2 linked regions of the Coturnix japonica genome follow. The protein of the gene in region 2 interacts with the protein of the main gene of each other region in a pairwise test. Links are inferred from orthologs where the notes say so. Each region holds a gene or a part of one and is shown on either strand. Other genes may lie near its edges.

Region 1 (7,169 bases), about 3.5 Mb from region 2:
CCATGAAGCTCTCTGTAAGGTAAACCAGACCCAGGTTTAAAAACCTTAGTAAGACAGGCATAAGATAATAATATTGGTCATACTAGAACCAACCTAAATCAAAGCCTGCATATTTAACAATGCTTGTGTTCTTTCAGAGAAATCACTGCAGGTTCCCCAGTGACTTAGGGGTTTCCTTACATTTTCCATCTCTTCCACAGCATCCTTGACCACACCTAGAAATGCAGACAGAGATGACACAACTGCTGCCTGGTTATCTGCAAAAGGAAAAGTGAAGAGAACTGTAGAACTGCAGTGATTCAAATCAGCTTGCACCAACATTCATCTGTGTTTGCAACCATTAGATCTTGAGATCATAGGATCCTATTTTTTTGCAAAGCTCAGAACCATACTGTACTGCTCTACAAATTATCAGAGCAGGCTTCCATACTTCAGAGAATACTAAAGTTCAGAAGAATGAGTAAGCCTACAGTGTACTACCTAAAATGCCCCTCTCAAGAGTTAACAGTATTTCAAGATCACACATTCTAGTTCCATTGGTCTGCATACATAGTACTCACCTCGTGGCAGGCTGGACACTTGCTCACATGCCTCCCACACACCACCAGTTGATATAAGCTGCTCCTGAGATGAGCTGAAACAAAACAGAGGCCCTCAAAGTTAGGGTAACACCACACCACTCTGCTAGGCAGTTTTATTTTTGTGCAAACTATAAGAGGCTCAGCTGAAAAAATACTGGCAAACTATCTTGTCACCAGTATTTCACAACTGTGCAAAGCACAGGATGCTTTAATAAATCCTACTGAGTTTAGTAACTAGTTGGAACAAGATGCAGGAGTTTCTTACAAAAACCTTTAAAGGTGCTTAAATATTATTTAACTTTGAGTATTTACCCAAATCAGAAGAGACAGCTGATCTTTGCTTAGAGGCAATGGAATTAATCAGTAAATACAGAGACTGCATATTTCCCTGGAAGGACTGTTGTCCGCTAACTAGCCACAGAGAGTCACACAATCACCGTCACCATTCACTCCACAAGCAAGAATTGCCAAACAGTATAAACAGTATCAAGCACTGTCATGGAAATCCTACTTCCAGCATATTTCCTTGCCACAGACAGGATGAAAAATCTATTCTCTACCAAAGCAAATGCAGTTGAAGAATGCTACAAGTGAGACCCAGCCCTTCCTTACCATAGGACAGACTTTTCCACTGAGAGTCTCTCACTAGGTTCTGCTTGTGCTACATCACAGCTGTGTTGCAGCCATATCTCTACCTGGTCTTGATTCTCTCCTTGATTCTGATCTGAATGCAGACCACTGATTTCTTGGCTTGACCTCAGACCCAATTAATTGCAATGGTCTTGGCTGGACAATCATTGGATGGTGTGTGATGCCAATTACTCTCTCCAAAGCCAATTGTTACTTTGTTGGCCTAGCTTTCCAGTTTGACATTGTTGCTATGGGCTTGACAAATGTCAACACCAGCACCGTTCTGTTCAATCAGAATCCCTTGCCAATGAGTCTGCTGCCTTTGCTTGCCTAATAACAATGCTCGGTTCCTGCCTTCCCACTTCCCTTATGAGTGCAGTCTACACTTGCTGCTCCTTAGTGAGTGTACTTGGAACTTTTTCTTCTTGCTGGAAAAGTACTACCTTCCCAATGGAGAAATGAGAATTGTTTCTGTGAGCTGGATCATTCCTTCCAATACTTCAGTGGTAGCATCTCGTACCATCTTCCGAAGTGTAGTACCTGGTTGAGAAACAGCAAGTATGTTGCCAAAAGGAAGAAACTGATATAGATGAATACACAGACAGGCACACAGTATAAAGTCACACACACAGACACACAGTATAAAGTCACAGAAGCAATTTATATTGCCTAAATTCTAAAGTTCTAACAAGACTTTAAACAGAGATTTCAGCTCTTTACAAACATGAATGCTTGGTAAACTATACCACTTCCTATATTATCATTTGTTCACAGATGGAAATCTCCAAGAGCAAATTGTCAAGTTCACTCATAATCACATTGCAAGTCTATAGAACAGCTGACAAGACTTTGTTCATATTAACTTGTTTTCCCATACAGACCAAATTTAACATGCTGTGAAATATCGGGTTTCTTCACATAGTGATGAAGGAACTGACTCTGTCCTCCATCACTCTCTCACCTTGGCCCTTGGGGAGCCAGTAGTACACTGTGGCAACTGCAAGAATAGCATTTTGGACATCTTCACTCAGCTTCCGACAATTCTGAAAATAGGTAGGCAGAAGGATTAACTAGGAATATCACAGGGCTACACTACATTTAGAAAGCCTCAAAAGAAATCGTTTAAATCTATGTTACTTTGTAAGAAAAAGGAATAGCATCACAATAATGGAGAAACAAACACAGCACAAGAAGAGGCAGTATGTTTCTGTGATGCCAACAAGCACAGAAGAGAATAATTTGCTAGAGCTGCATGCACACTGCATGTGTCAAGAGTTGATATACGGTGTATGACCACCACACCTTGGTTCAAGGGATGTAAAGAAAGGAAAAAATAGTTTAATTATTCTCAAATTAAGGCGCATACAGCGTTAATATTCTCTTAATTAACAGAAGACATAACATCATTCATTGTTAAGAGAAAAGATCTACACTGCCCAGTATCTCACCTCTATCAGCAATCAGTCGTAGAAGCTTAACAAAAAAGATCTAAGAAGACATCTCCTAACCTACATAAATTAGTTTCCAAGGCAATTCTTGAATTTGATTAATATTCATTTAAAATAAATAAAAATACAGCTCATATAAAGTCCCTTTTTTATGCTCAACTTGATAACTTTGCATTAGTCAAGTGAACTGAGAGATACCTCAAACTTGTCACACAGACAGTAATTTCCTGCTCTGTGGGAGATTTTTACTAACCTCTGCAGAAGGCAGTGGAGGTCTCGAGAACGCCAGACTAAGCTTTGTAGCTTCCTGGGATGTTGCCTTGAATGCCTGACCTAGAGAGGATATAGCAGGAAAAAGGAAATTAGAAACTCTGTCAGGTAAAACTAGAACAGAGTAAGTCGACTAGCAGTGTCTTCCCTGACACTACTATTTCTTCCTTCTCAGCATGAAAAAGCTATATATGCCAAATTAGACTGCAAAAGAAAGTTTCCATGGTGCCTTTGATGCACAAACACGCATCAGGTATGTGTTCACTGCCAGCTTTTTACTTAGCTGGAACTGCTACCCATAATCACATTCATCTCCTGCTCCAAGGCAGGAAGTAGAAAGATCCATAAGGCTTTGAAAACGTTGTAAAAACCGCTTCATAGTGCTATGTAACAGCAGCAGAACTAGAGCTGAGGGGGAGTGCCAGAGATATCCCCTGCAGCTCACAGCCCCGCTATGGACCCAGCCTGCCCTGGGACCCGCCCAGCCCTGCTGTGGGCCGGTCCAACCTCCGCCCCACCCGGCGGTCCCCTCGGTGCCAACCCGCTCCCCAGCCCGTACCTAGCGCATCCCAGAAGCGCGGAGGCTCGAACGGCTCGCGGCCTTCACCCGGTTCTCCCTCTGTAAATGCAGACAAAAGGCCTCAGTCTGCGGAAAGCCCGGACCAGAACTCCGGCCTAACGTCCGCCTCCGTCCCCACCCGGCCCCGGCTCCCACCTCTAACCCGTGCCAGCACGGCGCGCATTGAGCCGCACAGCTCCTGCAGCAGCTCCCGGGTCTCCATGCTGCGGGAGCACCCCGCGCTCCGGCTCGGCTGGACGGCAGCTGCGGCCCGGCTCAACAACTAACAGCACGGCAGCCCGTCGGCTGCTGTACGCCACATCCCCTTCCGGAGGACGGCAGAAAACAGGCGGCTCCGCCCCGTTAGATAAACCCTCCCAGTCCCGCCCGCTACCCCGGCAAGGAAGGGCGGTGTTGGGTACAATGTATATGCGTTTTATTGATTATATCCATACTGTGTCCAGGTGTGGAGACCTCAGTACAAAAAAAGACATGGAGATTTTGGAAAGGGTCCAGAGGAGGGACAGGAAGATGATCAGGGGGCTGGAGCACCTCCCCTATGAGGACAGGCTGAGGGAGTTGGGTTTGTTCAGCCTGGAGAAGGTTGCGGGGTGACCTCATTGCAGCCTTTCAGTACCTGAAGGGAACTTACTGCCAGGAGGGGAGTCAACTCTTGGAAAGGGCTGACAATAGCAGGACACGGGGAAATGGTTTGAAGTTAAAAGAGGGAAGATTTAGGTTGGATGTTAGGGGAAAGTTCTTTACTAGTGGTTAGGCCCTGGAACAGGCTGCACAGGGAGGTTGTGGATGCCCCGTCCTTGGAGGTGTTCAAGGCCAGGTTGGACGGGGCCATGGGCAACCTGATCTAGTAAAGGTGTATCTTTGGTGGTCCTGCCAGGCAGGGGGGTTGGAACTACATGATCCTTGAGGTCCCTTCCAACCCGGGTCATTCTGTGGTTCTGTGATTACAGAGGCAGCAGTGAACAGCCAAGGAATGAGCGCTGCACCCTCAGGCAGAGAGGCAGGGTTGGAGCAGCTACAGCAGGCGCTGGAGATCCTGGAAGTTGAGCAGGTTGTTGGCTGTTTCGGACCAGGCCGCGTGGGTCGCTCCGTCCATCTCCGAAGCGAGGCTGTTCGTGCTGTCCAGAGTGTGGTTCATACCCCCGATGACCTCGTGGCATTCAGGGCACGTGCTCCTCTCCATCGCCCCCCCACAGTCCCCTATCACATAGACATGCCCATTTTTGCATTTGAACCAGTGGCCACGCGGGTGGCCCATAGCGCTGACAATCTGCACTCTCTCAGCCTCAGTGATCCCCAATCCCGACAGGGGCAGGGCAGCCTTGAGAAGCTTCAGCTCAGCTTTCACTGCAGCCTCTTCCTTCTCTGTAAACCTTTTTGTCCCTTCCAAGATCTCACGGACCTTGGCAATCTTTGCTGCAACGGTCACAGTGATCTTCCCACTTACGGCTTTACACCTTGACAACAGGTCCTGTAGGTAGGTCAATCTCTGGATCTCAGCCTGCAGATCCATGAGCTCCTGCTGTGTAAAACCGAGGCGTGGCTTATCCAGCCACTCCTGGATTTCGTCTAGACGCTTTTTCAGCCCTTTTTGCTCTTTTGAATCAATTTTGCCCAGAGAACTGGTTAGGTCAGCTATACGTTCATAGAAGTTAATCAGATTCTCAATTAATGCAGTGCTCCTTATGGAAAGATCAGAGGAATTCAGCTTATCCTCCAACACGAGGTACTTAGCGAGTAGGCTCTTCCTCAGAACACTCTTACTTGCGAGCGCAGCCTCTAGTCTTTGTCTGCTTGACACAATTTTCCATGCTGGGCCTTGGATTTTCTCTTTCACCTTCTCTATCTCAGCCAGATGCTTTTTCACCATAGTGCCATATCTCAAACTCTTTCTGACCGGTGTCTGACAGGTAGGGCACACCTTCAGCTTGATGGCTTCATCATCTTCATCCATATAACGATCAAGGCCCTGAGACTCAAAGACATGGCCACAATCTTCAAGCTGTACAAATCGTGCATCCTCATCATCCTCAAAGCCAAAAAAGATCTGGGTAACCTCCTCACGGTCACAAACAAGGCACTTTTTTGGGCAGGGCTCTCCACAGAATCCAATACAAGGATGACCACAGCGCAGCAGCTTGGTACATGGTACATTGCATCGAGGCCTATTGCATGGTTCATGGCAAAGTTTGGTGCACTGATAGTGCTGGCATCGCCACTCACATGGCTCTGCGCATGGAGAACAGCGCTCTCCACATTTCTTTTTACATCTGCTGTGGACACAGCGGTTCTGACAGTCAAGCTGACAGGGAGGGCATTCTGAAGTACAAGGCTGCTGACACTTGTGGGAGCAAATTAAGAAGCGCTTGCATGGGCTCTTACATTGCTCATGAAATCTTCCTCCAAAGCAGGAATGACAGGAACCTGAGCATCCATGGCCACACTCCAGTTTGACAGTGCACTTAGCCATACATTCAATAGGTTTATGATATTTCATCTCATCAGTCATCCAACATCGAACTTTCTGGCTGTGGCCACATTGCAGAGAGACTGTAACCAGTTCAGGACACCGAGTACTACATTCCTGCCCACAGCTTTTGTTGCATGTATGCCCACAGCTTAATTTTTTCTGGCAAGGTTCTTGGCAAATAAACTTACTTTCTGGACAAGAGCATGGCATCATCTGCAGGTGGCCACATTTAGAAACCATTTTCTCTACTATTACCATGCATGGTCCACATGGCTCATAACATAACTGTGGACAGCGATGCCCCTCTGTACAAAGCACCTTTTGACAAGGCTTCAGACACTGATACTTTTTGTGCTGTAAATCGTATGGGTGGCATGCTCTTGTGCAAACATGTCCGCAGTCCAACCTAAATTCACAGGGATGACTACAGCCTCCTTCTGGGACTTTGCTGAAGTCTGCTGCTGTGGATACCAGAGTCATGGTCTCAGGGTGATTTTGACAGCAAAGCGTCAGTGAGCGGCCGATGTTACCTTTCTCCCTCAGTGTGTGAATGATCTTGCTCCAGAGAGGCACCTTGCTCAGCATTCTCATATTTCCAATACAATACAGCCCTTTCTTAGCTCTGGATAGGGCTACACATATCCGATTAGGGATCTGCAAGAACCCAATTCTCTCCTCTTTGTTACTCCGCACGAGTGACAGCAGAATAATATCATTCTCCTCTCCCTGGTACTTATCCACTACGTAAACCTTCACACCTGCAAAAGTCTTGGCTGGCATGAGCTTGCGCAAACAGAAAAGCTGTCCAGTGTAAGTAGTGAGAATGGTGATCTGAGAAGGTTGATAATCCTGACACAAGAAGTATTTGCAAAGTTCCACCACAAACTGTGCCTCATGTATGTTTTGATGGCTTTTCCCTTCCTGGATGTCCTGCTCAGGAAAGTCATGCTCCACAAAGAAAAGGTTAGATAAGACCCCCTGAAAAAAAAAAAAAAGAGAAAGAGAATCTTAGAAACAGAATTCTACTTGTCACTGCAACCTGTTTCCATGTCCCCTACTATCCACTAAAACGACTACTCTTCTGTGTGGTTAGTGCATACTGGGGCAATTTCTTTTCATATCCATAGCATATTCATCAGAAGTAACTAAGGTTATTAATGGTATTTCAGCTTATTAGGGACATTTCATTG
Region 2 (7,342 bases):
AAGTACCTGATGCTCGGCACAGTCTGGGCTAGGAAACATCCTCCAGTGCTGCTCAGCAGCAGCACTTCAGAGATGGGTATGGGAAGGAAAGGACTATGGGACTTCTCCTGAGAGAGCTCCTCTCTTTAACACAGCCTGAATTCCACCCAAAGGACCTCAGACACACCTGCCAGTGTCCAAGCTGGGCTGAAGCACACGTTAAAGGCTCTCTCCCTCTACTTCTCCCCAGGTCATGCACAATAGTTTCCTTCCTTCCTCCCACACCTAATTTCAAGCCCACACCTTCCCAAGTGCACCAAGAATCCTCAGTTTATCCCACAGCCCAAAAGAGAAGTTTTTCGTACCGCCCAATATTGCGTGCCAGGGCCTGCTGGATTCCTCTTATATCCTTCTGTGTTTGTTCAATCTTTTCCATTGTCTGGAAGAGGCGGACACTCAGGGCCTTCTTGGTGCTCTTGCTGGCATGGTAGATCTCTTTGCTTTTCCTTTCCGGCAGTGTCATACCTCCAACCTTCTCTCCTGTGTTCTTCCCTCTCAGTTTCTCATTCAGAAAGTCAAACACATTGCGGGGTGGCTTGCGGCTGCCTGCAGGGGACCTCCCAGTGTTATTTCCCTTTGCTCGGGATTTCTTTGAATTGCCAGGGTCCAACCTCCCCTGTTTCTTTCTCTGAAGCACCTCAGCACACTGGTCAAGGGACTTCCCTCGAGGAAGTACCACCGCCTGCACCGGCTCCACTCGGCCATCAGAATTCTTCCCAAGCCCTGAGAGGGAAAAGCCATAAGAGTCACCAAGCCATTACCAAGAGGAAGGACATCCCCTCTCCAAGTCAGATCCCACCACAAACTCACACTGACAGTGACAAGCTTAGAACAAGCAAGCAGGCTTTGGACGTGCAAAATGTCGTAACTACCATCCAAATCAAGGGAAACAGCCAAAAGCTGCAGCTCATCTATGTAAATCGACAACAGGAGCCTTCCTCAAGCAGAATATAAGTGATAAAAAGCCCAAGGCCAATAACCAGGTCAGTTTCTGTAAGACAAGGTTCAGTTTCACATCCTTGGCTTCTCAAGGAAGGTTCTTCTTAAAACTGGTTTGGTTCCTCTGGGAGAATCCGAGATAAATCAAGTAGCAAACTGGCCTCCCAAAGCCCCCAAGGCTCCATCCAATTTGTGTAGTAAGAAGCTAGTTTAGCAGGCTTTGAAGTCCACGTCTAGAGCCAGGAGATGCTTTAATACAGACATCACAAGCTTCATAAATCAGTTCCTTTCTACCTACCTAAAGCCTTTGAACAGCTCATTCAACAGTTCTCACAGCTTTAATCATTAACCTGACCATGGTTTTAAATGCCTCCAAACTTTTGCTGTTACCATACAAGAGCTGGTGCACACATGCGGCTGTACTTCGATTAAATAGTTCTCTTCTTGCCTACCAACATTTCCACCCAGGGGTGATTCATCACATACCTCAAGCCTTATCTAACAGGCCCTTCAGCAAAGTTTTTGCCTCGTCCAAAATCTTGGTCTTCTTACCTAGCCTTAGGATGCATCACAAGACTGAGACTGCAATGCAGGCAGGCTCTCACACCACCATGATAACCCTCTTTCCTTACCTTTTCCAAACTCATATCCCATCTGAACGAGCAGTTTGGAGCCAATGCCACGAGTGTGGGCTTCCCAGCCACCGAAAGAGGAACTGCATGCAGGAACCCATTCTCCATTCTCTGGAACCCCAGAATCTATCACTGTAACACAGAAAAGACAAACCGGTGACACACAGACACAAAGCTGATTTGCAAAACCTTCAAGAGCATGAAAACCCTTCTTGATGTAATACAATGTACTGCTCCCACCACAGAATTGTTCAGCAGCTCCTCCAGCCTTACTTGCTCCTGCTATGCTGTCACCTTTTACAAACACCACTTAGAGGGTTATTTGAGAGCTCTCACTTGAATTAACGCACATACCATCTCACAGTTCCAAGCAGAATCGCCTAGAAGTTTCTATGTTTCTTTTCTTTCCTTTCTTCTGGAATGGTCAGATTGACATATGACATCCCAGCAAAGTTTGGCACTGTGGCACATAATGTGCTTAATTAGTGCCTCCAGTGCATGTCAGTAGCATGAGGATTCTCTAGGCTACTATGCTAATGATGTGTTATTAGCACTCAATAATCTCCATTAGGCTGAATTTACTGAGCAATAGGACACAGCTTTGTCCCTGTGACAAAACAGGGGCACAGACAGAGTGCTATCTGTGTATGCTCAGAGAACCTGGTTCTGTTGGTGTCACCTCTTCATAGTAAAAAGCCAGGCACAGCTGTTACTCATCAAGACACTGGGAGGTTTGAATACCTGTGCCTGGGATCTCTTACTCCTGTTGTGTTATACAGCTCTGTGTAGGCTCCGGAGAGATTAGAAGTCTCCTGTTTTACTTGCTCAGCTCACACACCCACTTGAAAAACAGACTAAGAACTGGAACTCCATTATAAAACATTGCGCCCTCTACCTGCTGCTACAGAAACATTTGAGCTTCACCAGACTCATACTGGTGACAGAAGGCAGACACAGATCACAAGGCACTTCTCTCACACCCCCACCACCCTCTCACCTTTAGCATAACCAGAATCATCAACACTGTCTTCATCAGATTCAGCAGATGAGGCACCATCTTCGCTTCGTAGTGGGGGAATTATACTATCTCCTTCTACAACAGCTTCCTTTAGCAGCAGGGAATCAAACTTCACCGTGTAGTAACCACTGTCAATATCTACAGAAGGAAAAGCAAGAAACAAGAGTTCAAGTAAACTCTCAATACAAACACTGCAGAGAGCTTCCTCAAAGTTGGCTTCAGGGAATGATGCGGGAGAGGAGGAAGGCCTGAAGAACACGTGTTAAAACAGCTGAAGGCTTAAGAGATTTACTTATAAAAATAGAGGAATATGGGCTGTCAACAAATGGAACTAAAAAGAAGTTTGACTTACTCCCTCTGACCCAACAAGTGCCAAAGAAAAAAACTTCTCAGAACAGAGGGGAGCCTCTATCAACAGCTCCCAGATTACTGCAGTTCTACTCTAATATGCAATTGTATATGCATGTATATTTCCTATCCTATTCCCTTCCCAAGCCTGACACAACTCAGAACACGTTCTCAACTACCTCCAGATTTTTAGTTCAAGGCCACAGCTACATCCTCAAGTGTTTGCTATCATTAACCAAAACGGTCATACTTTGTAATTCCTTCAGCATGGGTGCTCAATCTCTACACAGCTCTGGCACAACACCCACAAACACCACTCACCAGTTATTTTGGCAGCATACCATATCCCATCACTGTGTTTGGCCAGGCAGGCTGAGCCCACCTCCAGGGTACTCAGATTGGGCTCCTGAAAAGGCTGAAGCTCCTCCACAGAGACCACCTGGCCATGTGAAAACCTGCCAGGGAAGACAGAAAAGGAGTCAGATCTACCTCACTAGAAAGGGCTTGAAATATAAACCCCTTCCTTCCTGACAGGAAACTCAAACAAATTGTCAGCAGTGATGAATCTGCATCAGAAGGTTTATCATGCATCATTTCAATTAAAGAAGTCATTCGTTTTTCACCATATTCATATAATTTATGCTGTGTAATAGAAGAAATAATCCCACTCCCAAGAATGAAGCTTTCCCTGATAGGGAGATCTCTGAAAAATCACAGATCTTTTGAGATAATGAGGACTGCACACAGACACAGAGATCTCAGCCTCCTGCTCAAAGCAAAGCCAACTTCAAAGCCTGATCAGGCTGCTTAAGGCCTCATCTGGGTTAGATTTGAAGCTCTCCAAAGATGGAGACCCCGCAGCTGGAACAAAGGTACCATCAACAGACAGCCCTGGGTGTTTTTGTTTTAACTCATAAGCCTGTGACTAAAGTAGCTATTGGAATGATCAGGTAAAATCTCTGCAACTTGCCCACAGGGATTTCCACTTCATATCTGCATTACCTGAACTGTCCAGCTCTTTGATACCACCTGTTACCATACATAATGGATTTTAATAACACTGCAAAATCCCATTGGTTACAACAGCCAGCGTGGAACACTCAGATGTTCCAGCCTTTGAATCACACGGCCTTTATCAGCAGCGAGGATACGAGCCCCCTCCCCCTCCATATTTTTCTTTACCGACAGTTCTCTTTAAATCTGCATTTGTCATCCAAGAAGAACGGGCACGGCTTCAAGGACTTGTGAGTGGGGTAGAGATACAGCACTCTGACACCTGCACTGCCATCTTCCAAGTACTCCGTCCCCACAATCATGGCATTATGATACTCCAGCGTCCCCCACGAGCTGTAATACGGCGCTTTAACCTTCATCCCACTCAATTCCTCCTCCTCCTCCTCTCTATCAGACTCTTCCTCGCTGCATTTCAATTCACTCTCCTTGCTTTCTTCGTCTCCCGTCGCAGATCTCTCGCTGTTATCAGCTGAGGGCTCACCATCAGTCCCCAGCTCAGCAATGGCTTCCTTGAAGGCAGCATATTCCTCATCCTGGGCACAGCTATCGGGATTTTCACGCTGATTTACACAGGAGGCGCTTGTATCCAACGCAGCCAACAACTTGCTCTTCTTCACAGCCACCAGGCTGGACTCGGTCAGTTCTATCAGCTGCTTTAAATCTTCTTGTAACTGAATCAGATCCGATCGCTGCGAGGGGTCCTGGCCCGCCCCCAGAGCCAGCTCAACCTGCTGCAGCTGGGCGTTGTAGGCCTGGATGGCGGCTTCCAGGCTCTCCTCATCCATTGCGAATAGAAGCCAGGCCCCGGTTTAGGCCTCAATCCGAACCTCCCCGCTCAGCTCCCGCACCCCCACAGCACGGCCGCCATTACGCCCCCCCCACTTCCGCCCTTCTGAGCAGCCACTTCCGGCTTTTCCAGCTGTCGCGCAACGCCACTTCAGCGACCAATCTCTCCGTAGTGCGCTTGCGCAGTCGGGCCCGCCCCACGCATCCGGCGCCGCTGAGCATTCTGGGAGTTGTAGTTTAAAATAACCCCACCTCCCCGCCATAGAGGCGGTGTGAGAACTACACTTCCCAGAGTGCCTCGCGAGGGACGGCGCCGGCGGCTGGTGTGGTGGGGGAGCGAGGCGGCGCTGGGTGACGGGAGGAGCTCCCGGTACCGGGTGAGGGGCTGCGGTGTGCGCTGTGCGGCCGGGCCGGGGCCTGCGGGGTACGGAGGGACTGTGGAGGGATCTGAGAGCTCAGCCGGGCTCTGAGGGGTGGGGACGGCGGGGAGGGCTGCGGGCTGTGGGGCAGGGGGGGTCTAAGGGGCGTTGTGTTGTGACCAACTGCTTGTATAGCGGGTGCTGCAGCAGCACTGCTGTTGGAGAGAGGAGGGTTTGGGATAGGTGAGGGTTCCTACACACACCGCCTGGGTACGTGGTTTGAAGTTAAAAGAGGGAAGATTTAGGTTGGATGTTAGGGGGAAGTTCTTCACTAGGAGAGTGGTCAGGCCCTGGAACAGGCCGCCCAGGGAGGTTGTGGATGCCCCGTCCTTGGAGGTGTTCAAGGCCAGGTTGGACGGGGCCATGGGCAACCTGATCTATGGGGTCTCTATGGGGTCTCTATGGGGATCTATGGGGTCTCTATGGGGATCTATGGGGTCTCTCTGGTCTCTATGGGGATCTATGGGGTCTCCTGGGCAACCTGATCTAGTAAAGGTGTATGTTTGGTGGCCCTGCCAGGCAGGGGGGTTGGAACTACATGATCCTTGAGGTCCCTTCCAACCCGGCTCATTCTGTGATCCTGTGATCTGGCTGTGAGCTCGGTTCAGCTGTTGAAGATCCCATAATACTGTCATAAACAAAGTGAGGGGGCACCAACCTGCACATTCCTGCTCAGAACACTCCTCTATATCTGCACACCACTGGCTTCTTTTCTACGAGTCTTATATGTTCTCTAAGTTACTTTCAAGCAGACTTTAGCTTGCTCTTAAGTCCAAGAGAGAACAAACTTTGAGTTGAGAAGTGAGTTCATAATGGATGCTGTGCATTGTGTGCTGAAACACAGGTTAAGCTACTTGGAAGATCATGTTTTGAACATTGGATCTTGAGCTGTTTGCACTCTTCCTTTTGTGTCTGTGATTTGTCCTAGGGTTGGCTTAAGAGTTACTGATAAACGAGTAATGTCACTTATTAATCTGATGTTGGGAGAAGTTTAGATCATGGAGTGGAAGAATTCTGGAGATAATCTGTTTGTTAATGATTTCCTGGCATCTGTTGCAGGAGCAGGATGTATACTCTGCTGTCTGGGCTCTATAAGTATATGTTCCAGAGGGATGAGTACTGCATCTTGATCCTCGGTTTGGACAATGCTGGTAAAACAGTAAGTGCTGAGTGTTACCAATTGCATGCAGTTCTAAACATCCCCATCTTCAGAGACAAAACTTCCACCAGATGGGTCAGTCTTTGTCTGTAACATGAGCTATTTAAGCGATGTTGCCCCCAAGGAATCAACTTTTATCTCGTATTTAAATTTAGCATAAGCTTTGATAATCCTGTAATCCTTGTGAGCCCTTCTTTCTGCACTGAAATAGGGAGCGAGAAAAGTGCTTTGTTTCAAGGTTAGGGCAGTATCTATTGGAACAAGGTTCTGCAGTCATGAAAAAGGAGATCTGGGGCAGGGTCACCCAAGGCAGTAGAATATATGAGAGTGAATACTATTTCACATTCCTTTTCAGACCTTCCTTGAACAGACTAAAACTCGATTTAACAAGAACTACAAAGGGATGAGTCTGTCAAAAATCACAACCACTGTAGGCTTAAACAGTAAGTAAATATGTCTGGATTGTTGTTATTATTATTGCAAAGTTAGGCAACAGTTTCTTTTGGAGCGTTTGAATTACTTAAGAGTAAGCAAGACCAAAATAGTCCCTGCAAATGAAGGTCTTCTCTCCCAACCCCATTTATTTTGTGTAAGAATAAGATTGACTTGTTTAGCTTATAAGCAAAGGTAACCTTGAAGCCATGAAAACCTAACGAAGCAGATGTTCCATTTCAGGGCTACGCTCTGCAGTTAAGTAACATTTTGCTGGAATTCTTTGGCCTGATTCTGATATTATTTGTACTGATGTGGTTCTATCTGATATAGATGTCACTTCTACCTCATGTATTGTTGTGCTGCTGGAAGTAGCACTGTATATGATTTGCTCCAACCCCTCACTCTCAGTGTCTGTACTTTAAAGACCCTTTTTAGTTTTCATTGGATTGTTTTTTCTTCTTTCCTTCTAGTTGGTACAATTGATGTTGGCAAAACTCGGCTGATGTTTTGGGATCTTGGGGGCCAGGAGGAGCTACAGTCTCTTTGGGACAAG

What was found.
Region 1: the proteins of ZGPAT (region 2) and CCNDBP1 interact in binary tests that used the Homo sapiens proteins (3 or more experiments, as listed by UniProt). The two-hybrid records come from large-scale screens. The link is inferred for Coturnix japonica from reciprocal best matches to the Homo sapiens genes ZGPAT and CCNDBP1.

Annotation. Positions count from the first base shown.
Region 1 is NC_029535.1:5,929,750-5,936,918, forward strand, and holds the start of CCNDBP1 (cyclin-D1-binding protein 1), read right to left. Parts: upstream 3,820-7,169; 5' UTR 3,712-3,819; coding exon 3,645-3,711; intron 3,549-3,644; coding exon 3,489-3,548; intron 2,993-3,488; coding exon 2,913-2,992; intron 2,255-2,912; coding exon 2,173-2,254; intron 1,752-2,172; coding exon 1,655-1,751; intron 635-1,654; coding exon 561-634; intron 258-560; coding exon 181-257; intron 1-180. Other genes in the region: ZNFX1 (NFX1-type zinc finger-containing protein 1), read right to left, coding at 4,525-6,957. UniProt on the Homo sapiens protein: May negatively regulate cell cycle progression. May act at least in part via inhibition of the cyclin-D1/CDK4 complex, thereby preventing phosphorylation of RB1 and blocking E2F-dependent transcription.
Region 2 is NC_029535.1:9,382,750-9,390,091, reverse strand, and holds the start of ZGPAT (zinc finger CCCH-type with G patch domain-containing protein), read right to left. Parts: upstream 4,871-7,342; 5' UTR 4,776-4,870; coding exon 4,159-4,775; intron 3,432-4,158; coding exon 3,298-3,431; intron 2,767-3,297; coding exon 2,608-2,766; intron 1,743-2,607; coding exon 1,611-1,742; intron 763-1,610; coding exon 345-762; intron 1-344. Other genes in the region: ARFRP1 (ADP-ribosylation factor-related protein 1), read left to right, coding at 6,262-6,354, 6,710-6,797, 7,260-7,342. UniProt on the Homo sapiens protein: Transcription repressor that specifically binds the 5'-GGAG[GA]A[GA]A-3' consensus sequence. Represses transcription by recruiting the chromatin multiprotein complex NuRD to target promoters.